2 linked regions of the Drosophila melanogaster genome follow. The protein of the gene in region 2 interacts with the protein of the main gene of each other region in a pairwise test. Each region holds a gene or a part of one and is shown on either strand. Other genes may lie near its edges. The genes, in order: Act42A and CG31559.

Region 1 (9,847 bases), on a different chromosome or scaffold from region 2:
CTATGGATATAAAAGTTAAAAGCATTCATAGTGCTGTAAATAAATTCATGACTCGCCTTTGGCATATCGTTCGTATGTATCGGTGGCACAGCTGTAACGCACATTAAGTTGCCTTTTTTGTAGTTCGGTTGCACTTAGATTGAAAACGAATATCTGTAAATACATGAAAGGTGACAAACGGCCGGCAGCGCGTCTCAGGCCAGATCACTTACATTGGTAAAAGTATGCTCTCCACGTGACTGCCGCCAAGAAAGACTTCCCGAACTCCGACCCTTCAGCTCGTTTTCTGTCGGCTTACTAAACAGGAAACGGGATTAAATTTAATTTCGAACAGTTTCCTGTAAATGCTTACCGCTCTAGCGTCAAGCCGATGACCTCGTACATATTGCGCTGGCTGAGGAATAACTTTCGATCGGCGGTGCAATTTTGCCGCCGCTTTGCTCGAATCGCGTCCAGCGTTTGCACCATTTCTTTTTCCCCGCACAGCTTTCGTAGGTGTAGAATCTTCTGGTGGTCATTAGTATAGCGCCAAGTCACATCTTGGATGTCGTCCCTAGAGTATGCAAGAATGTAGTCGATGTGACGTTTCCAGCCATGCTGATACATCAGCGGAGAATCTATAACGTTCTCGGAGGGGTCAACATGGAGCCAACGCATCTGGGCCTCGGAGTACACCTCGGTCCAGACGTGATCAAAATGCGAGTGGACAATACGGGCGTCGTAGTCGAGGGCGCGACAGAGGAATGTGAAGCAATTGGCATATTCTCCGCAACGGCCCTTACGGGAAACTAGGAGCTGGGAAATGTCGTTATAGCGGTAGAACTTGCTCTCCTGGCCGCAGCAAACGGTGACTTCCACCCTTATATCACCTTCCCGTTCAGTGCGGCGCAGCCTGCTCTCTTCACTCCCACACACGCGGCAAGGTATATTGTTTACCCACTGGAAGAACTGCGTGTTGAACCAGTTTACCAGCTCCACAAGCAGCAAGTCGCGAACACATGGCTCCTTCTCCTGGCGCTCACCCGACGCAATTTGATCTTGGATGTCTATCAGTTTCTCGCTTGCCATTTCGGTGAGCTCTTCCACAGGAATCAGAGTGCGGCCAGTAGCCAGCAGCAGGTTATCCTCGTACTGCATGACTGCATCGGAATAAAGCTCTAGCGACTGCAGAAAGTTATTATTGGTGCGCTGAAAACAAGCTTCCACATCAGAATACAGCAGAGGTCTATCTTGTTCGATGGCTGGCTTACCAATACACGGGGGAAGGCGATTCTATGGCGATATTCCACAGAAGGCTTGATGAACAAGGGCGTGGTGCTGGTGGTGCTTTGTTGAGGAGGACCTATTAAAATCCGAGACATGATGATTAGGATGTCAGTCTTGCCCCCAAAGCTTACTTTTTGACACTGTGCCGTTAAGCCAGGCAGTGCGTCTCTCGCTCAGCGCATCTCTGTACTTCTTCACCTGCTGCAGTGACACCTCTGTGGGCAAGGTGTAGGCGTTGGAACTGGGGGCGCGTACGAAGCCTATGGCTTCCAGTAACCTCTCACAGCCGGGCAAGGACAGCAGCTTTTCTTTAATAGCTTTGTTTTCCTGCCGTATGGTGCGGAACATGGAGTTCTCCGGCTGCGCCAAGATGTTCTCCAGCAGCACTAACAGAATGCGGACCGCTTCCAGGTAGGCTTCCTTTAACCCTCGCTCCTGCTGCTGCTGACCAGCAGAACGGGTCTTCGGTTCGATCTGGTGCACGCACTCCAAGTTTATGTCCACCATGTTGATGACCAGCTGCCACTATCAGATTGGTTTCGTCGTTAGTAGGGGTGGCCGGCGGATGACAATCATGCAGACACAAAGGGTTATGGTGTTGGAAAACGCGATTAGTTTAGCGAACTTCAAGCGATAACAAAAGAGGTGTTTTTTAGGTTTTTTTTTGTTGAATGAAGCCAGCCGGATTCCACTAGCGTACATGTTCTTTTCCTGTGGGGATGCACAACAAATTTATGCACGAAAAATAGAGCTTGGATCTCCTTTTTATAGACATTTTAAAAAAGGTAAGAAATCTCTAAATTTCAACAATTGCTTTAAATAGGAAATAAGTTACTTAGAAATATTAAGTTATCACGTGTTGAAATTATAAAAATTACTCAATAATCTTTTGCTTAAAAAAACGGATTAAAAATACACAAAGCATTCAATTACCATTTTTAGTTAGTAGCGATCGAAGAATGTTTTGATTTGGAACTCCCAATATTTATTAGGTCTTGGAAGTATATAAATTATATATTAAATACATAATGTAATAGAAAAATAAAAAAAAATTTTTAGGAATCCACTTAGGACTAAGGGTGTTCTAAAATGGACGGTTCATGTTTCAAATTAAGTTTACATTGTTGTTGCTCAAAGAGAAAGCTTATGAGAGCAAGGATCCTGGAAAATTGATAAAGTAATTATGCACAGCTCTCCGAAAATTCGCCTTACAGTAGGAACAGCTCAAAGGGACTTGAAAATACTGCCAGCTCCAGCACTCGCACCAAGCAAATTAGTGACATGAACCGATGTACAACAACATACCAATGTTAACTTGCTAAATGTGTTACACCATTTACAGATCGTTTTTCATGTGGCAAGATATTTCAATATTTTTTAACGCTATTTGTTATCTTTATGAATAACGCTTGCTACTTCTTAGTCTGAATAATATTCGGCTTATAAAGATTTCAGGGATTCTGTAATGGATACGTTCGAACTTATTTCATTAAATTAGAGATAAACAATTATGTTATTGTAAAAAATATCAATTGAAATCATGCGAAAAAAAAACTTATTCTCAGAGGAGAATGCTAAAGACAATGTATAATGGATATTAGATATCCAATTACTGGATATTCGCTTTATTCAGTTTTAGCAACCAATTCTGAAGCGTACATGTGGAATAAAGATTAAAAAAATTATATTCCTGCAAAATATTTAGATGAATACATTGCATATATTGGAAATCGAAAACAAGTTCATTTTAAAATTGTGGGCTTGCCAGTTTTTTGTGGCTTGTGGACGTTAGAGTGAAAGTGGCGTAGTTATACAATAAAACAAACTTGCCCGAAGTAGGCGTCACTAGAATTTGCATGATTAGTTTTAACATCCTACCAATATAGTTCCAGAGACTTTGATGTCTATGCTAACATTAGTACATCGCCAGGTCGCCTCGGCTAGAGATGTTGATCAAGAGCGAATTCCCTATTGGGAATGTTGTTTGTATCTGTTTCTGTCCAACATTAGAAAATATTCTCAGCTGCAAGGCACATACGTACGCAAGGTACATACGCAAATTATAAAAATAACCTAAGTATTTTATATATATATATTTGTTAAAATCCAACTAAATTCATGTCCTTTTAATATAAAAGTTATTTAAGGCTGATTTCATGTCACACAACACTTTTTGAAATATGTTCTGAAATTGCAACTTCCTGGAAAACTCTACATAGCTTAATGCAAAAGCTTTCACAGCTAGTTAATGAAATTAAAAACAAAAGGTTGAGATACCGGGCCACTTGGCAAAACGCTCTGTAAACGGTGTAATACATTCTGAAAGTTAGCGTCGAAATGATAGTGCTATACATCGGTTCATAACATGGATTTCCCTGTGGTGCAGGTACAGCATTTGGCGGTATTTTCAAAACCCTTTTGGTCGAATTTTGAGAACACTGCATAATTTTTAAATGCATTTTCAAGGATTCTTAGATCATTTCTAATTTGTTGATAACACGTCAGTATACCAATGAATAAAAAATTTTAAAAAAAGTCCGCTCTCCAGTCTTCACCGTTTCCAACTTATCGCACATTTATTGTTGGTGGAGTCACTTCGGAAGTAAAAAAGACCATAATTTTATGCGTATATGGTCACACTACTTTTCAACCACTTTAACTCGAAAAAGTAGGCGTCGGTCAATTCAATCTTAAAGCGTCTGTCATTGTGCTAAGTGTGTGCAGCGGATAACTAGAAACTACTCCTACATATTTCCATAAAAGGTAAGACTCCTGCCCAACACTTTTTTTTGTCTGTGCGGTCATTATTATTCCTTTCTGGAAGGGGTCGGTCCCGTCTGCGTTCTTTTTTACGTTAGCCGCTGTCCTGTCTCCTTGTTTTTTTAGTGTACACATCCAGATTTCTTTTCTCTTGCAGATCCAAATAAAATTTCTACAAAATGTGTGACGAAGAGGTTGCAGCTTTAGTGGTCGACAACGGATCCGGCATGTGCAAAGCCGGCTTTGCCGGTGATGACGCACCGCGTGCAGTTTTTCCTTCTATTGTCGGCCGTCCACGTCACCAGGGCGTAATGGTAGGAATGGGACAAAAGGACTCTTATGTCGGCGATGAGGCACAGAGCAAACGTGGTATCCTTACCCTGAAGTACCCCATTGAGCACGGTATCGTGACTAACTGGGACGACATGGAGAAGATCTGGCATCACACTTTCTACAACGAGCTTCGTGTGGCCCCGGAGGAGCACCCCGTCTTGCTTACTGAGGCTCCTTTGAACCCCAAGGCTAATCGCGAGAAGATGACTCAGATTATGTTTGAAACCTTCAACACTCCGGCCATGTATGTTGCCATCCAGGCGGTGCTTTCTCTCTACGCCTCCGGCCGTACCACAGGTATCGTGTTGGACTCCGGCGACGGTGTCTCCCATACTGTGCCCATTTATGAGGGCTACGCCCTGCCGCACGCCATCCTCCGTTTGGATCTAGCCGGTCGCGATTTAACCGACTACCTGATGAAGATTCTTACTGAGCGCGGTTACAGCTTCACCACCACCGCCGAGCGTGAAATTGTGCGCGACATCAAGGAGAAGCTGTGCTACGTGGCCTTGGACTTCGAGCAGGAGATGGCCACGGCCGCTTCAAGCTCGTCCCTGGAGAAGTCGTACGAGTTGCCCGATGGACAGGTCATCACCATCGGAAATGAGCGATTCCGTTGCCCCGAATCGCTGTTCCAGCCGTCGTTCCTCGGCATGGAGGCCTGTGGCATTCACGAGACCACCTACAACTCAATCATGAAGTGTGACGTCGACATCCGTAAGGATCTGTACGCCAACACTGTGCTGTCCGGCGGCACCACCATGTACCCGGGAATCGCTGACCGCATGCAAAAGGAAATCACGGCGTTGGCTCCGTCCACCATGAAGATTAAGATTGTTGCCCCGCCAGAACGCAAGTACTCTGTTTGGATCGGCGGCTCCATCCTGGCTTCGCTGTCTACTTTCCAGCAGATGTGGATCTCGAAGCAAGAGTACGACGAGTCGGGCCCCTCCATTGTTCACCGCAAGTGCTTCTAAGCAGTAGTCGGGCTGGGCGTGGTCGTTCCTCATCGAACACACCCATTGCAGACAAAGGATGGGAGTCAAAAGTATTGGGCATGAGTACATTAATACCGGGAGCAGGCGCACAACACTTCCGCTCCTTCAGAAGAATGCATTCCATTCACTTTTATACACAGTTGTACACGACGCATAAGCAAACCATATTGTGTTCTATTCGAAATTCAAGTTCATATGCACATAAGCATTTATAAAACTGATTCATGTTTGGCATTTACATTACTTCCATGCATTCCTACATATGTATTAAAAGCAAACTTACCATACCACTAAAATACTTGTAACCGCTTCTTAATAATAAAGCGACGAAAAGAACTGAAAATTCCTTTTGTATTATTCTATTATTTTTTCCACCAAAAAAGCTAGCATTTGGCTGGCATGAGTAAGAGGCAATCTGAGACCGTGATATTCCGATGGCTATGTGCTCATTCCACTGGCATGCAGTGGCGGAGGCGTCAGATAAAGCGCTAACCAATAAGGCATGCTTTGCTTTTGTGTTTAAGTCAGATGGGAGCAAGCATCGGTTTGCAGGAAGTGCCTTGATAAGCCAGTTTATGGCCTGCAGTTTCTGTCGAATCGGATATATGTACATTTGAGCATAGGGTGTGATTCAGTTTGGACTCGCTCCGCTTATCACCCGACCCCACCCAGTCTAAGCGGTATTTTTACGTTGATTGATTGCGAGTGAAGCAAGTGAAACGCCAAAAGCAGCTGCATCAGCGTTACCTTATAAGGAAATAGTGGAGGAATACCGCAATCGCACTCGCACTGGCCACTGCAAATCGAGACCAAAACAAAGCCATGTTGACTCACTCACGAATGTTCGGAGTAGTTTTCGTTGTCATCAATTGGCATTGTTTGCCCGATTTTGTTGATAGGTGGGGCCCGGCCCGCCCCATCCGATTATCACTTGGGTGTTGAAACGTAGAGAAATTCATTTGGGGGATCCCTAGCAAATCTGCTGGTGATCTGGACAAGCGCGTTGACCAAATTTAATGAACTGTAGCCAGAAAGTAGATTCGTAAGAAGAGCGCATGCGTCGATCGTCGATGTCCATATATGGAGGCCGTTATAGACTTCAGTCACTGCAACAAATGCCTAACTAACTTTATTGCTGTAAACAATATATTTTGGGTTTCTACGCTGGAAGCTGGCTTTAAATAAATGTATTTTCCAAATCCATCGATAGGTAGATTTGTTCAATACAATTTCAATACTTTAAAAATAGGAATATTTTCACATAACTTTTCGATTTCTGGCAGTTATCAACATTTTATGGCGTGTGTCATACATACTTGGTTAATTTGTATATTTTAGTAGTAAGGTCAGCAAACTAGAACTAATAAAATTATCAGAGCTTAATAAAATAAGGTAAGGAAAGAGAAGTTTGCCAATCCCCGCCTATGGTCTGAGTAAAAAACAAAATGATTTTGAATTGCAAAATAAAATTTTTAATACTTATGCGCATTTTATATTTCTTAAATTTGTGTATGCAAGGACTTGCGTTAAAAATAATGTGACGGGGAAATTTGCTGACTTTGTCTACTATTTTCACTGTTGTTTATAAGAATTTGAGTTTTTTAAATATGTTTCTGAGAAATCAACACTAAAACTGCTATCTTGGAATATTTCAACAAAAACTGAGTGACTTTAAAACAAGTCCTTGCCTTTTTTCAAGCCCTCCATAATAGATAAAAGAATGAGTGAACAAAGTTGAGTTTAATTTTAAAGAATTTTATATTTATAAATTATAAAGAAATATTTTCTTGGTTCTAAATGTACATGTTTTCGTATATGTATGTTTGTTTATGCATATTATGTTAAGGTTACAAATTACATTTAAATTCTAAATAAGTAATTATATGGATTTAGCTATTGGGCACTGCAAAGTATCCAGTAGCTAGCATATATTTAATGATTGGCGTTTGTGTTGCTTTTTCTATTTGTGATAAAGCATATAATGTCGTTGATAATGTTCAGTGAGAATAGAAGTAAGACACGTACGTAATTAATTAACTAAAAGTGAAAAATTTTTGTATATGTGTGTGCTGCAAATATCGTTCTCAGGTTGGCCTATCAACTAAAGAAAAATAGGGAAGTATGTTTTAGCATACTTCAATAATGAGGGTCTCGGCATATGAAGGTGTGACTATACGGTTGTATTTATATTTGTATATAAGTGATCATATATATATATGTGTGTGTATACGCGTAAATATATGCTATATGCGTTATATAAATAATAATACATTTGATATATTAATCGAAATATACGACAAGGATGTCAAAGCGTATAAATCCGACCAAGTGCCAATATGTTTGTCATAATAAACAAGAAAACGAATGTTCCAATGGAACGTCATTTGAAATTGCATTCCACCTCAGCAACTATTTACCTTAAATGCTAATAACATGAATCGTATCGGTACCTAGACAACCACAGCCAACGGGCACCAAACGGGGGCCCATGGACACGTTGTGCAGCAGTAGAAAATCTATGCAAAACAAAAGTAACTTAGTAAGAATTGTCCGTTCTGGGATGCCTGGCGATTTTTTGCAGCTGTCTTAATTTTCGTCACGACTGCTGGCCACGTCCGTGACTTCGAAAAGCATTTATCAGTAGGCCTGCGCCTCTTTGTAGTCGCTCTGATCAGATGTATAGAAGTCTTCCAGTTTCCATTGTAGCGTCTCAAACGTGGGTCTGCGCATGGGGTCCTTGTGCCAACATTCCAGCATAATCTCATACAGGCGCGGCTCGCAGTTGGGAGGTTGCGGCATTCGATAGCCGTGCTCCACTTGCGTTAGCACCTCAGCGTTGGTCATGCCTAATCAAAACGATAAGCCGGATTCGATTATTAAGAGTTTGAATCTAGTCAAAGGTGTGACTTACCTGGATATGGTATGCGTCCGTAGGTGACCAGTTCTGTGAGAAGAATGCCAAAGCTCCAAACATCCGATTTTATTGAGAATTTGCTGTAGTTAGCAGCCTCTGGAGCGGTCCATTTTATGGGAAATCTGGCGCCTACCCGCGCCTCGTATTCGTCCTCCTTGATGAGCCTGCACATTGAAGATTTGCGTTATAGGAGTTAGTTATGTCTTTTTAAAGCCGTGTCTTTACCTAGCTAAACCAAAGTCGGCGATTTTGACGATGTTTCCATCGCCTACCAGTACATTGCGCGCCGCTAAATCCCTATGAATATAATTCTGGGACTCCAAGTAAGCCATGCCAGCAGCTATTTGCGCTGCCATATCAATCAGAGTTTGCATTTTAAGGCTACGACCCTTGCCTGCAATGGCTAAAAGATATTAAAAACAAAAATAAGCAATTTTCATGACATGATAAGCGAGCGGTTGGTTAACGTTGAGTGGCATGAAAAAAGATGTTCAAAGTGTTTGGTTCATTTTTTTTTTATGCAAAGCGTCTTATTTTTTCCTAGGCTTTCCTTCCTAGTGGCATACCTTGGAGATATTCCAACAGTGAACCGTGCTTCATTAACTCTGTGATAATATAGATAGGCTCCTCAACAGTGCAGACAGCGTACAACTGTATAAGCTTGGTGTGGCGCAGTTTCTTCATGATCTGGGCTTCCGCTAAGAAATCCTTGGGGTCCATTGTACCTGAAATCCAAAGTAAAAGTGATGGGACCAATCTTTATGAGTTAGCTCGACTGCAGACTTACCAGATTTCAGAGTTTTAATTGCCACAGGTGTTGTGTTGTTCCACAATCCCTCCCAGACATCGCCAAACTGTCCGGAGCCCAGTTTGCGCACGAATTTCAAAGACGTTCTGTCGATCTCCCACTGATCGCGAGTGCGGTGCGAAAGCCCCTCAGTTACAGGCTTCTCGATCTGCGTTACGATGGTTACATGGTGAACGAAAAAAACGGTAAGTAATTGCTTTGCACATTTTTAGGCGTAGTACTGCACAGCTTGGAGAAATGATTGTGCCAATTGAGTAATGATCGTGTAGCGTTTAGGCCTTATTTACAAAATAAAAGTATGGACTTTATTAGCTGGGACGGATGTGAATAGATTGCAAGGCTTTGATTCTGGTTTATGTGCGAAACAGTCAGAGTTCAAATTAATGAATCAGATTTTTTTCAGTATCTCAGTATGAATATCTTTAGACTGGACATTAAAAGAACATTTAAGAGATTGCACCTTGATATAATTGTTGTATATATGGTTAATTTTAGTACTCTCTGAACTCTGACTGAATACACTTGTGGGTCACCTGAATTCGTCATTAAGTCGATTGTACTGTGATAGAACATGAAAGGTTAATTTAATTTGTTGTGAGGGTATTGATTGGCAGTGATAGAATAACTCTCGCTTTTAGTAGTATTGTTTTAATGGGTAAAAAAAACACACGCACATCTTAACGTCTTAGATAGAAATCCTACCTCAAAGACACCCGAAAAAGAATTTGTCTTTTTGTTTTGATTATATTTAAGATGGTTAGTAATTGT
Region 2 (13,832 bases):
TCGGGGAAATAAAACAAGGGCGCCGAACAGCAGTGTAATGAGCTGCGGGAGCGGTGGCCAAAACAATTTGAAAGTTTTTGCCAAAACATAATGTGTGGCTAATTTTATTTGTCGCCAATTGGGAGCGATGCCGCCGTCCGCTTGACACACTAATTTATAGTGAGCCAGAGCTCCGGACCACCTGCTCCCGGCTCCGAAAGTGGGTATTGCTTTTAGATACTTGTATTCCCGGGACCGACTACGGGAGCACCACGAAATATGGCAAAATAATAATGCACAACCCACACCTTAACCCTCGCCAGGCGCAAAAAATCTTTAATGACCAAATTGCACATGAAATTGCGCGCATAAACTAATTACCGCGGATAAAGTTTAACAAAGGCAGCGCAATTGTGTGGTGTTCACGTACAGTTGAAAGAATTTTTCGAACATTAAATAAACTGACGGAAATACAATACTATTGTCCTATAAAGTGAAAGCAATATAATGACATTCGTGAACTAATTTTATAAAGTTTGCTTAATTTTATCACATACATATACGAGACAATATATTTTTCTTGTCGAATGTAATGTACAAAGTTGTTTGTTTAAAGAAAATATCCTTTTCTAGACAGACTGTCATCACGCTTCTGTACAATATTACCTTATGTATAATACATTTTTCTCAGTGCACTGTTCAGTTCTGGCTACAGCTTAACTGGAGGGCGACCAGCTGGGTAATGGCGCAGAGCGAATCCCTGTTCGAGCCCAGAGTCCTGCGAATCGGCTGCCATCCCGCTGCTTTTGGCCACCAGTCGGCACTCATATGATGTGGCCGCCGTTTGTCAGCATTACAGGTATTTACAATATATATTTTAATATTTTCGGGGCCCGCACTCTCAGCCAGGCCGCCTCCATCTCCAATCCCTGTGTGTTACTGTGCCAAATTGTTTATGAAAAATTGCGTATGACGACGCCGTCGCTGGCCCATAATTTAAGCCGCCTTGGCCGAGGATTTGGGCCAGCAGCTCGACGGTGGCTCCGCTCGGTAATTACAATGTAGCCGCCTGTGAATTTAACGATCTGGGGGACCTCGGGAGGCGGAAACCCAACAATCCCACCCACTCCCGTCCGGAGTCCCATTCCCATTCAGAAAGGAAAGGGTTCTCCTTCGGTCAGTTCGGTTGGTCAGCGGGTTGCCGGTTGTGCATTCGGGGCGGCATGTTAACAGAAGTGTGAGCCAAGTGGAAAATAACATTAAAAGGGCCATAACAATAACTAACAAAGACACCAAAAGCAAATGGCAATGCCGAATGGCTGGCTAACTGGCAAAGGGGCCAGGACGCTTTCCACCAGCTTTTCCACTTTTCCCGCTTTTCCCAGCTCGACCAGAAGCAGGCCGACAAAAATTAAATGGCGCGAGAAAATTGCATGATCGGTGTGGTGCAAAAAGGGAGAAGCCGGTTTACATAATTGCCCGAAGCCAGAAGACGCACTTGGATAAAAAATCGACACTTTAAGACCAGCATGCACCGAAAGTTTGGTTTTAAAATCCATTTTCGCTTTTTATCTGGCGTATAATAAAATCCATTAGGAACTAAAACCTATATAACTAGTATGAAATAAATATGAAATAAATGAAATTTAAAGGATAGTTAGTAACAGGATCTTAGTATTAACTTTTCGTGACTTTAGGAGCATTCATACTCAATGTTTAATTTTGGATTGTGTTGTAATAATACAGTTTTTATACACTTAACAACCGTTGTTGTATTTCTCGTTTTTTTCGTTTTCGTTTCTTTATAGTACTATATTTCTGGGAACTCATTTAAAAAGATTTTTTTTTATCTTTTCTACCTAATGACCATTTTTTCTCAGTGCATACTCAGCAGACTTGATGCATAAGCCACTGGCTTTTTCCTGAAATATACACTCTTTGTCTTGGCCAGCTCTGCGGTGGCATAGATTTGGCTGCTCCTTTGCTTTAGTTGGGCAGTAAGTCACTTTCCCAGAAGGCTGGAGAGCAATGGTCCGGGTGATGTGGTAATAAAAGACGATCCAAAAAGGAAGAATCATCTGGGTTGGGCTTAGCTCCTCCATGTGGGCTGGCAGCCCTGGAGAAAGTCCGCCAAAAAGTATGCAACGCAATCAGCGAATTTCCAAATTAATTTTAAGCGCCGTCAAACATTCAAGAGGCTGCAGCATTTAACCGAACGCAAAGTAGGTATTAGGCTTTGCATACTTTGCGGTTCAATTGCAAATTAATGAAACATTAAAGCACTAAACTGGTTTAATTGCATCTGAAATATATGCTCTGCACTTCAGGCAAACAATTTATTTGTCGGCAAATATTGGTTTGCTATTGGTGAAATATTTCATCGGTCCGACCAACATTCTAGCCACCCAGAATATGTATTATCCTCCTTTATATCGCACACATACATTATACATGAGATAAGATGAAAACATAGTGGCTCCTTGGTTGACTTTATATTTATTTCTAAATTCTTGTTGGTTTTGATTGTTGTATTAGCTTAAAATTGACGAACTTATACATAATTATTCAAAACTTAAATGTTCTCATTGGGATTCACCGATTAAACAAACATTTATTGACCTAAAATTTACCTATTGTATAACTTACCTCTTTATAAAGATGATTTTTTGACACATTAGCAGGAGTTAGCAGAAAACTTAATGCGTCTAAGCAAATTAATTAAAGATTAAATATTTTAGCAAAGTACTTATCCCAAATTTTCGCTGAAACTTGCTAGTACGTAAATTTACCCCCACTATTTCCTCGAAAATGAAAACACAGACCCTGGTACGGATTAGCTATTTACTACTTAAGCCTAGCATATTCCGAGAGTATTGGATTTTAGCGGCTTAGACTAACTGGGCTTACGAATTCTAGAACTGGGACTCGGACTGCGACTCAGCAATTGTGGCACTTGACCAGGCCCACCTCGTCGCAGTTCATGCACTTGAGGGCCACGAACTCGGCAGTGAAGTGGTTGCGGTGCACGGACTTCTTGGACCCGTTGCAGGAGGGGCAGGGCAGCAGGCGGTAGCCGCCGCAGGTCTGGCAGGTGTAGGTGCTGGCCATGGACTTGTACGGTTTGAGCAGCTGCCTCAGCTCGCCGGACTCGTTCATCCGCTCCACGGTCTCGGCGTCCCCGATGTGCTGGCCCTCGACGTACAGCTGTGGCACCCGCACCTGACCGCTCTGCATCCGCTGGCGCATCTCCGCCTGGTACTCCACGCTCATGAAGACGTCCCGCTCCTCAAACTTGACCAGCAGGGTGCGCAGGATCTGCTTGACGTTGGCACACTTCGTGTAGGTTTCCCGGATGATGCCCATGCTGGTGGTGTACAGCACCACCTTGCCCAGGTCTTTCTCCTTGAAGTTCTGCGGGGCGGGAGGAATGGAAGTGGAAAAGCAGATCACAGATTAGTTCGAGTTCTGGTTTGGCGTTCGGCGCGGACCGAGATGATGAAAAGCAGGCCACCGAAAACTGGAAACTGGCCCGCCATTCGCCACAGAGTGCGGATTTCGAAGTCTGCCATGGCCAGGCAAGAATGGCAATGCCAAATTGGGTCTCTACCGGCTGAGGATGAAGGCCAACCGCAGACAAAGGCGATGCGGAAGAGCTGTGCAGGCATGGCATAGAGGTTTTAGCATTCAAAACACGATATTCTACGGTTGACTATTCCTTATGTTCGGGTAACCAGTGCACTTAAATTCTATTTTTAACGTAACGTCGTGTTTCAATTGATTTTAAAGCGTGTGCTCCGAAAACGAGTCATTCAGATGATGTGTAATATTTTTGTATATGTTGTTAGACAATTGTCTGGCTTCATACAACATTTTTGAGTGCGTAATGACAAAACATTTTAAGTTATTATAATATTTGCTAAATATACAACAAATTATTGTTTTTTGTTACATATCATAGCCAAAAGCTCCCCAACCAATTTTCGAATCCAATTACTCCTCACATGTAAAAAATAAGATTTCCTGTCTGGCTAACTTCAATTTCCGACATTATTGGATCAGCAAACATTAGAGAGATTTATTGAATTAGTAATATTGCATTATTTATTTTAAGATTCATTTAAGATTTAACAGTGCTTTATTTACATTTCGAGTGTTCCCCAAACTGAATAACCAGCACTTGCGGCTAGAATCAGGTCTTGGCCATAAACCGACAAAGCAGTTTGGAATTCGGGGGCTGAAAACTGGTTGGAAATTGCATTTCGAACTGAGCCTGGTGGAAAACTCGGCTCTCTCTGCCAGGCTTCGGGTTCATTAGCTCGAGGCTTGGACTCGCGTAACCCAACTCCGCAGCTCGGCAACTCTGCATGTCACTCAAAATCCTATTAATCAATACAATTAAGCAATAATAGGAAAACTGCCAGGCAATCGACGTCGCCAGTCAGCAGAGTCACAATGGAAACCTGGAATGTTTTCCCGACAATTTATGATGTCTTATTTTGTAAGCGAAACCGGTTCGCAGCTGGGTTCGCTCATTTCATTTGACAATTAACATTTCCGTTAGTTGGCCAACTTTGGTGGCGTCTGCTTTAGCTAATGAACCAAGTTGGTCCGAACCGAACCAATCCGATCTGATCCCGGTTCCCCCACCTGCACTACTGCTGTGGTATCAATGAACCGTGCAGAAGCGTCTTGTACACATAAATAAAATATTGAGAAATCTCGAAAGACGTTTTCAATATGTGTTGATTTAAAAGAAAAAGAATGCATTTTTCACGATAATGTTAGGAGATTAATAATAAAGATTAATGGTATAATGGTAGATAGATATAATGGTAAAATTTGTATTCATGAGGATATAAATAGTACAAGAAATATGTTTAAGACAGCATTTTTATTTGAGCATCTGATTTGCTCATTGTTGATTATGGTTTTTTGATTATTCCCAAATGAAGTTATGTCAAAGAATCTATACATTGCTTGTATTGACTCGAAGGCTCATCTCGGAGGATAATAACAATTTGATAATTGAAATTAGAAAATAATAAGCTTATCTCCCTTTTTTTGCTCTAGAAACCAGTGAGACGAGAATTTGCATACCAAGAATATGGAAAAGAAGGAGAATTAATGAGCTGGTTGGGGCAGGGAAATGGAAAATGCACACATACACAGCCAGAGTCGGAGTTCGAAGTCGGAGACAAAAACACATCATTCCAAGAGAGATGCAGCTGCAAGTGCCGTTGTCAACGATAAACGACAAAAGCGAGAAAAATATTTCACGACAAAACTGAGGAAAAGTTCAAAGCCACGCATCACGAACCAAATCGACAATAAACAACTGGCTGGCTGACAAACAAACAACTAGCTGCGGTCAAATGGAAAGTCAACTCCAGCCAGCTCCAAGTGAACGTTGCCGAGCTGTTTTTCCAATTCAATTCCACCGATTGTCTTCTAGCGAAAAGAAAAGCCCCCAAGCTAATAAGCCACCAAGTGATAGTGGTGGTGGTAGCCCCCTCCGTCAGTGGTTCAATGTCAGCTCGAGCTGATGATTTGCATTGCCAAAAACATAAACACGGCGGCAATTAACAATTACCACACGTGATTTGCACGGTTGACCTCAGCGGCTTCGCGACTTTTGTCACAGCAGCACACCAACGCGAGCAACGCTTGCAGCAGCAGCAACATCTATCGCAGCAGCAGCAACTGCTACATATAAGTGGACAAAAGAGAAAGCAGGTCACTTGTATGGCCAAGAGCCAGCGGTGGAGTGATTGGCAATCGAAGAGTTGGGCAACAGCCACATCGAGATGGAGGCTAAAGCCGAGCCAGCAGATACTGCTGATGCTTCTCGAAGGTGACAAAGTGAGTTGTGTGTTTTCCGAGCTGAGCAGCCAGCTCCAGCAACTCCAATTTGTGGCCAATCGGCCATCGAAAATTCGGTGAGCGCTCTAATTATGGCTTGCAGCAATGCGCTGAAAAGGTCTGAAAGGGGTTATGAAAAAAAAAAAAGGAAAGGGTAGAAGAAAAGGCCAAGACTACGCTGGCCCAGCTTTTCACTTTCGATTTTACTGCTCTGCATACCGGCTGCATTGTAATTAGCAGCATCTCACTTTCCTCATTGTGGCATTCAAATGCTTCCTCCTGCCCGAATCATTTGCTCATTTGCATGCGAGCCGCTATAAGGCCATAAAACATTTCTATTCAGTTAGCATCCAATCCACCTAAGTTATGCCGATTCGCCGTTGTTTCTAGTCCGCCGAGCAGGCCAGCTATCATTCCATCAATTCATCAGGTCCAGAAAGTGAAAAGCCACGGAGTCGCAGGCCGAGACGCGAAGCAAAACAATTAATGTGATCTAAAATCTGCTCATTAAATTAGATAAAGGGAAATCTCGGAGCGGGCAACTAATAAAAGCTAAAAACCATAAAAACAACATCGTGCCCAAGCAGAAGTGTGTATTTGGACTAGAAGAGATTTCTACTCCCGTCACGGTTGATAAAGGCAAAACGGGAGAAAAGCGCTCGAAAAGCCGGAAAAACGATTGAGCGATACGAGTAATCCGTGAAACGGGGACAGGTTTCCGATCCTAAATGGCGTTTGGTGTGGAAAGACTCGAAATCAATGACAACGATTTCCCAACGATTTGGGAAGGGGAATTCCTAATGGCGGCAATTCAGTTAATTTGAGACATTAAACTCAAAATATGTTTGATTTCTGATGATGACTCTCAAGACGCAATCGAAATACTAGAAAGCTAAGTCGGCAATTATAAATCAGCATTCAATCCGAGGTATATTCATGATGTTGATACGTAAGAGTTAATATATATTTAATGCTACAATGTAGAGGAATGGTTCGGTATTAGTTTGCTAGAAACTAGAAAGCTCTTTAGCCAAATTGGTAAAAAAAAATAAATTTGAAAATACATGGAAGGTGGTATATTTTCATCAGAAGACTAAATGAATGAACATTCAATCAATTTATCAAGAGATTTCGATAGTGCTAATAAATTCCACAGGCTTTGACGATCTTCAATAAAAATGCTAGAAAGCTCCAACACACTCACACTAACAACCATAAATCAGCGCAGAGATATTGATTTATCAAGTGAATAAATTAAGATCGCTTCATGCAAATCTAGTTCCGAGAACACGCCTCGGCTCGGAATAGAAACTATCACTAATCCCGCTTTTGCGATGACAACTCCACTTCGCTCCATTGTCTCCGCGGAATTAGCACTTCTTTTTATTTGTTTTCCAGCCCCAACTCCCAACTGCCCGACATTAACTGCGATTAGTCGTGTCAATCCCGCGCCCAAACTACATGTCTCTGGGAACAAGGGGCTAAAACAAACGCGACTTGGCCAACTGGCTATCTGGGCAAGTTGTAGACGCGCGCTAAGCGCATACAAAACGACATCGGCGGAGACAAAATAAGCCACTTAACGGTTTCCATTATAATTGAAGAAGAAACCGACGAAGACGCTGAAAGCGCAGCTGGTTTCCCAGATCTCGGGGCTTCCAAGGGGACGATGGGGAACCACGAGCTGTTCATTAGATTACGGGCAAATACGAAACACGAAACACGAAATGTGAAAGATACTCGTATATTGAAAAGCCACAGCCACATATCGGCCGCCGCAATTGTTGGCCACCACTTTCTCCATTTCAGCCAACTGAAATGCCGAAATGTCGAGATGCAGGCCAATTGCATAATTTGGGCGAGCAGGTGACTCAACGCCACTGGAGGCCTCTGCCGACGCCCAGCAGCGTGGGAACCGAATAACCATCGATATCTGAATATTCATATCGGTACTTATAACCACAGCGGAGGTCAAAATTTTAGTAAAGTCTGCAGAAATCGTTGCATTAAGTAATGTGAGCGGTGTAAATATATATTGTGCTGATCTTGTTAGATCCGAAGATCAAACAATTTTTTTTCAACAATAAAGTTTAGCTCAAAATACTTCCTTAAAATAAATAACTTATATAATTATAATGTTTCTAAGTATATGGTTTAGTGTGTGCTAAAATGTTAAATCAAGTATTATTAATTAATTTAACCCAGAACAAAAAAAATGTAAAACAAAACTAATTAAAAAAAGACATATCGTTACTATTGACTTCCTCAACTATTATACCCATTACATATACTAGATACCCATTAGTCAGCTGCTGGTGGGCGTAAATTTCCGATATTTCGGCATTATAATGGAAAACAGACTGATCTACGCTTGTACATCTGTTAATCACTTTTCAACGATTGTGTTGTTACGGTGTTAACGACTGTGTTATGTATGCATTTTAAATTGGAAAGAAAATGTTATTAATCCGATATCAGATTAAAGTGAGATTTCTTTCTTGAATGTAAGATTAAGACAGTGATTAGTAAACCGGTATTTAGGGGTATGCAACTGATAGGCAATCAGTCGACTCTGACCTGAGAAGCATTTTAATACCGTACGCATCCCATCCCGTTATCCAATCATACGTCCCCATACCATCCCTACCCGACATGATCACGAAACTCACCTTGGCATTGGGCTGCTGCTGGAGCTGCAAGAACGTGGCTATTCCATTGCGCACACGGTTCTTGACGCCCCGCACCGTTCCCTTGGCCGATCGGATAGTGGACTGGGTGGAACTGGCCCCACATCGCACGTCCCGATAGCCGGCGAAGAGGTCTTGCTGCTCCGTTAGGATCCCGCTGTCGGAGCCAGCCTCCGATCCCGCTCCCGTGGAGTGGTCCGCCTCGTCGCCACTTCTCGCGCTTCTCGCACCGAAGTTCTCGTGCTCGTTGATGTGAAAGCTGTAGTATTGGTCGTCAGCATACTTGTAATTGATATTGCCGCGGTGTCCGCCGATGTTGCTGCTGGCTGGAAGAGACTGCGATGTGGCATCGATGCTGTCCAGCGTCTCCTCACCGGTTTGAACGAAGTTGGCCCGCTCCACTGCGGCCCGCAGCTCCTCTATTTTGTCCTCGCTCAGCGATTCGCGGGCCAGGCGGAACGGACTGGGTTTCTCCGGAATCTTGTCGGGGACCTGGATCTTCTCCTCATCCTCTGGCTGCGAGAACTGTACCACATACTCGGTGCTCCTCCGGTCCCGTATGTCGCGGAGCAGGCTGTCGGGGAGCAGGGCACCCAGGACCCGCAAGGACTTCTGTCGCTGCCGCTGGCCACTGGGCTGGGAGGCGGACTGTCGCACGTACTCCGTGCTGCTCCCGTGCATGGAGTCGCTGCCCAGCGAGGAGGGGCCACTCTCCTCGCTGTCATCCGGTTTGGTGGGCAATCCGGTGCTCTCCAGGTCACTGCCATTGCCACTGTCGGCGGTTTCACAGTGGGCCGCGTACTGCTGATACTGGTCCATGAAGAGGCCGCCCGCGTTACCGCCCTTGCTCACAGGGGGCGTGGCCAGCACCATATCACTTATCTGGCTATCTAGAGTCTGCGGAGTAAGCCGTCTTTCGGCTGGCACTGTACAGTATTGGCTTTTATCGGATTGGCCCAGGAAAATGCAAGCGTTCAATGACTCTGACGGACGTTGCACCCGAGACGTCGCATGTCTTTATGCTTCAGATATCGTCGCTAGACTGGACCGACTTTTTCTGGCCAAGATGGCAAGCCAGAGCTGCAATGGATCCACTCCACTCAGCTCTCTCTCTCTCTCTCTCTCTCTTTCTCTTATTCGCTCTCCGGGCCACTTTATTCAGCTCTCAGCTGGAGATTCAGCAACTCCGCGGTGGCTTTCTTTCGGCCAGATTGCACCTCCGCCGCGCGTTATTAGATTTGGTAATTTAAAGCCCGTTGCCGGGCTCAAATTGTTTGTCATTAGCCGGAGAAGAAGTTTCTGGCCGCCTCGCGAATTAGCAATTGGCCTACAGAGCCGGGGGCAGCAGCTGCCAAAGTTGGCATGACGCCTGCGCGTGACTGTGACGCGATCCAATCCAACTGGGAAATTTAGTAAGCCCGATCGCTTGGCCAGATTGGAGTTCCGAGATCGCAGAACCGTAAGAACGCGAGTTAGCGGACACTCCAGCAGCGCCTATTAAATAATATTTCAATTAGGGAATGGAATCGCTGGAACTTGACCTAGTTGACCCACTTTTTCGGTTAGCGGTTGGTCGCTAATTGATTCGGCAGCAGTAGTCGAGAGCCTATAAATACCAAATGTTTTCTTTTGAAAAATTAGTATTAACTTGGAAAATACTTGGAAAATTCGAGCATTTAAAGTATATATAAGTTAGCTCAAGAATGTTTAGGTGAGCACAGATTTTGTAGAGCTGTTATTAAGCTACTTAAATATCGTTCTGCATTTAATTATTAAGATTTATGGTAATTTAATAAAATACAATTTCTTATCCATAATATGATAATAATTTCATTAGCAAAATGCATGCACGTATTACAGATTTGAATCGATTTTGCGTTGTTTGTTCTTGGCTTGGTTTTTATAGCTATTATATAAATTTTTAATTAAAATCTTAAAATTCGTAAGAATTTAAATCTTGACCTTACCAAATACCTTGTAAGCGCCTCTACCAATCTCTAGAATGTCCAATTAACACCTTAAGTGACCGAGAAGTGCATTAAAAAGCATGTTGCCACGATTACAGACACCTAAATCAGAATATAGCGATTATTCAACCAAATAGCAGTCCATGGTATTTCGGACTATCTCAACACACTGTGCGTGACAATTTTCCGAATTTTTTATTGAATGAGGCGAACGAGTCATCGACGCAGCTTATCGACCGCATCTCGGACAACTTCCTGTCCAGATAGCAAAGGTTACAGTAACTCATTCAGTCGTCAGTGGAAATGTGCGGCCAGCATGAGTTGGCCAATAAAGAATGTCTGATGTGCATTTTCCCCAAACTCCCTCACTCACTTATTTTTATTTATGCCACAATTCTGGCTGAGGATGAGCGAGTTACCACCCCACCCCCTAAACCCCCACGCCTCTAAACAAATCATCGGACACTCAACCGGGAAGACGGCAACTGGAACACCGCATCCGGCCGAATGCTGACATTCCGGCCGAATGCTGACATTACACAAAAGTCGCACTGCAACATTGTCCCCAGCTAGCCAGCCACATGCCGAGTCGGCATGTTCATTATGCTTACAATTAAGAACCTATGTACTTATGTATAAGACGAAAACGGAGGACTCGAGTAGCCACTCTCTGACAATAAACTTCATACTGATTTTGAACTTCAAGAAAGTCAGTCGTATTCTTTATTGGAAATCTTCACGCTACAACTATCTGCTGAAACTTAAAAACCTTCATACATTTACACATCATATCTTCACAAAAGGCTCCACCCTCGATCACGGACTTAACTGGCGCAGCCGGTAGGATGTCCTACCTATTAATAATTACCTACCTGTAAGTAAACATGTAAGAAACGAAACAAACTATATGCAAGATGTCGACTGAAAGTGACTAGGAACAAATTTTTATAAAACAAAATTGAAGTTGTGAAGTACCAAATGAAACTCAAACATATATTCAAACACAGGAAAAAAAAAGAGAGAGGAAAAATGTAAAATAAATAAATATACAAAAAAAAAGTGCAAGTGTACCGTACTGCCGCGCTGACGTGGAATCTATCGCTGATCATCACGCCATCGGTATGTCCATACTCTGCCGAACGTCATAATTTTTTTAAAAAAGTGCAAGTGTACCGTACTGCCGCACTGACGTGGAATCTATCGCTGATCATCACGCCATCGGTATGTCCATACTCTGCCGAACGTCATAATTTTTATAAAAAAGTGCAAGTGTACCGTACTGCCGCGCTGACGTGGAATCTATCGCTGATCATCACGCCATCGGTATGTCCATACTCTGCCAAACGTCATAATTTTTATAAAAAAGTGCAAGTGTACCGTACTGCCGCGCTGACGTGGAATCTATCGCTGATCATCACGCCATCGGTATGTCCATACTCTGCCAAACGTCATAATTTTTATAAAAAAAGTGCAAGTGTACCGTACTGCTGCGCTGACGTGGAATCTATCGCTGATCACCACGCCATCGGTATGTCCATACTCTGCCAAACGTCATAAGTTTTTATAAAAAAAAAAGAGTGCAAGTGTACCGTACTGCCGCGCTGACGTGGAATCTATCGCTGATCATCACGTCATCGGCACTTACATACGCTGGCCAACGCATCGCCAAAGCCTCTATATACACTTATATATGTGAGCATACAATATCAACTACAATCCAATACATCCACGTACTGTACCGCCTCGTTGGCATGGAATCAAACGCTGATCACCATGCCACCGTGGTAAACAAACAAAGCACCAAAGCCTCTCTAATACATTGTACACTCAAAACGCACACTGCCATACGTCGGCGAAAAATCAAAACATAAGCAAAAATCATTTCAAACCAAGCGAGGCTCATTCTGCGTACCACAACGACAACGACACTGCATGTGTAGTGGCGCACCCATGTCTGGGTAGCCGAGGTAAGGGGAAAACGCTTGAGTATCGTCAAGTGTTCTTGCCTTTCACTCTTCTACAATGGGTTGCTACGCTCATGTATTGCACATTCAAAATAACCAAAACAAATGTACTAAAGAAGTCGACATATACAGATATATTTTGTTTCCTTTCATTGTGTAATTTTGTATATCAAACAAATACTAATACCAATCACATTGCAGAATATAAAAGGGAAAATATAAAGCCAAAGACAGACACCCATACACTCTAGTAAACAAGAAATTTGTTCATTATTTTTCAATCATACATAATATACTAAGTAACCTCAAATTTAATGTCAAAAAAGTTCGTTTACAACCTTAGGAAAACTACACGTTCAGTTGTTGGAGTTCCACCAAACACTAATAGGCCCCCACATCCCGTTAGACGTCCTGACTCCCTTCTCCCGATTTCGGAAGAACCCAAATCAATATCTTCCCAAACCCCCAATATGGACTCGGGAAACGATTCTGCCCGCCCCACTCCATCCCCTCTGGCGCCCACTGTCAGTGGTATTAGCTCCTTAATTTCAACTACGTTCAAGCCTAAAGATATCATGGCATTTGTTGAGCATTTGCCAACCTTTGATGGTACACCTCGTCTATTGGACAGGTTTATCACTAGCGTAGAAGAAATCCTGATGCTCATCAGGGGAGCTGACCAAACACCGTATGGCCTGCTTACTCTGAGGACCATCAGGAACAAAATCATTGATAGGGCCGACGAAGCCTTGGAACTGGCAAATACCCCCTTGGTTTGGGATGAGATTAAAAGCAATCTCATCCGCCTCTACTCGAGCAAGAAAAGCGAGGCCAACTTGTTAAGCGAGCTTAACACATTTTCGGACAACCTGACCTTGGGCCAACTGTTCTTTGGTATATCAAAGGTGAGAAGCCAACTCTTCTCCATACTCAAAAACAGCGAACACAACAACACTGTTGTAGATGCAAAAAAGGTTGTCTACAACGAGGTTTGTCTCAATGCTTTTATGACTGGTTTGAAGGAACCTCTCAAGACTTTCGTCAGGATAAAGTCCCCTTCTACACTTGAACAGGCGTACGAGCAATGCCAAATAGAGCAGACCTTATATAGGGCACAAAACAAGCGAACCAACAGACCAGAGCAGGGACCCAATGGATCAGACAATAAAACCTACCGAAATAGCTACGACAGCAATTACCGCAGCGGACGTAACGACCGAAATGACCGTAGGGGACCCTACTCTAACTCTAACTCTAACTCTAACTCTGGCCAAAATAGACCATTTAATTCACACAATCGCACACCCCAATCCGGCACCAAGGACAACCGGGCCAATACATCAAACCCCTTTCGAGCACCTTCACATAGTTTGAAT

Evidence for each region.
Region 1: the proteins of CG31559 (region 2) and Act42A interact in a two-hybrid assay, tested with the Drosophila melanogaster proteins (one large-scale study listed by BioGRID).

What each region holds. Positions count from the first base shown.
Region 1 is NT_033778.4:6,009,759-6,019,605, reverse strand, and holds Act42A (actin 42A), read left to right. Parts: upstream 1-3,916; 5' UTR 3,917-4,029; intron 4,030-4,183; 5' UTR 4,184-4,205; coding exon 4,206-5,336; 3' UTR 5,337-5,696; downstream 5,697-9,847. Other genes in the region: Pngl (PNGase-like), read right to left, coding at 57-153, 213-297, 353-1,188, 1,251-1,342, 1,398-1,773; Src42A (Src oncogene at 42A), read right to left, coding at 7,995-8,203, 8,269-8,435, 8,497-8,674, 8,838-8,996, 9,059-9,227, 9,782-9,808. UniProt on the Drosophila melanogaster protein: Actins are highly conserved proteins that are involved in various types of cell motility and are ubiquitously expressed in all eukaryotic cells.
Region 2 is NT_033777.3:6,147,659-6,161,490, forward strand, and holds CG31559 (uncharacterized protein), read right to left. Parts: upstream 9,578-13,832; 5' UTR 9,399-9,577; coding exon 8,508-9,398; intron 3,391-8,507; coding exon 2,917-3,390; 3' UTR 2,458-2,916; downstream 1-2,457.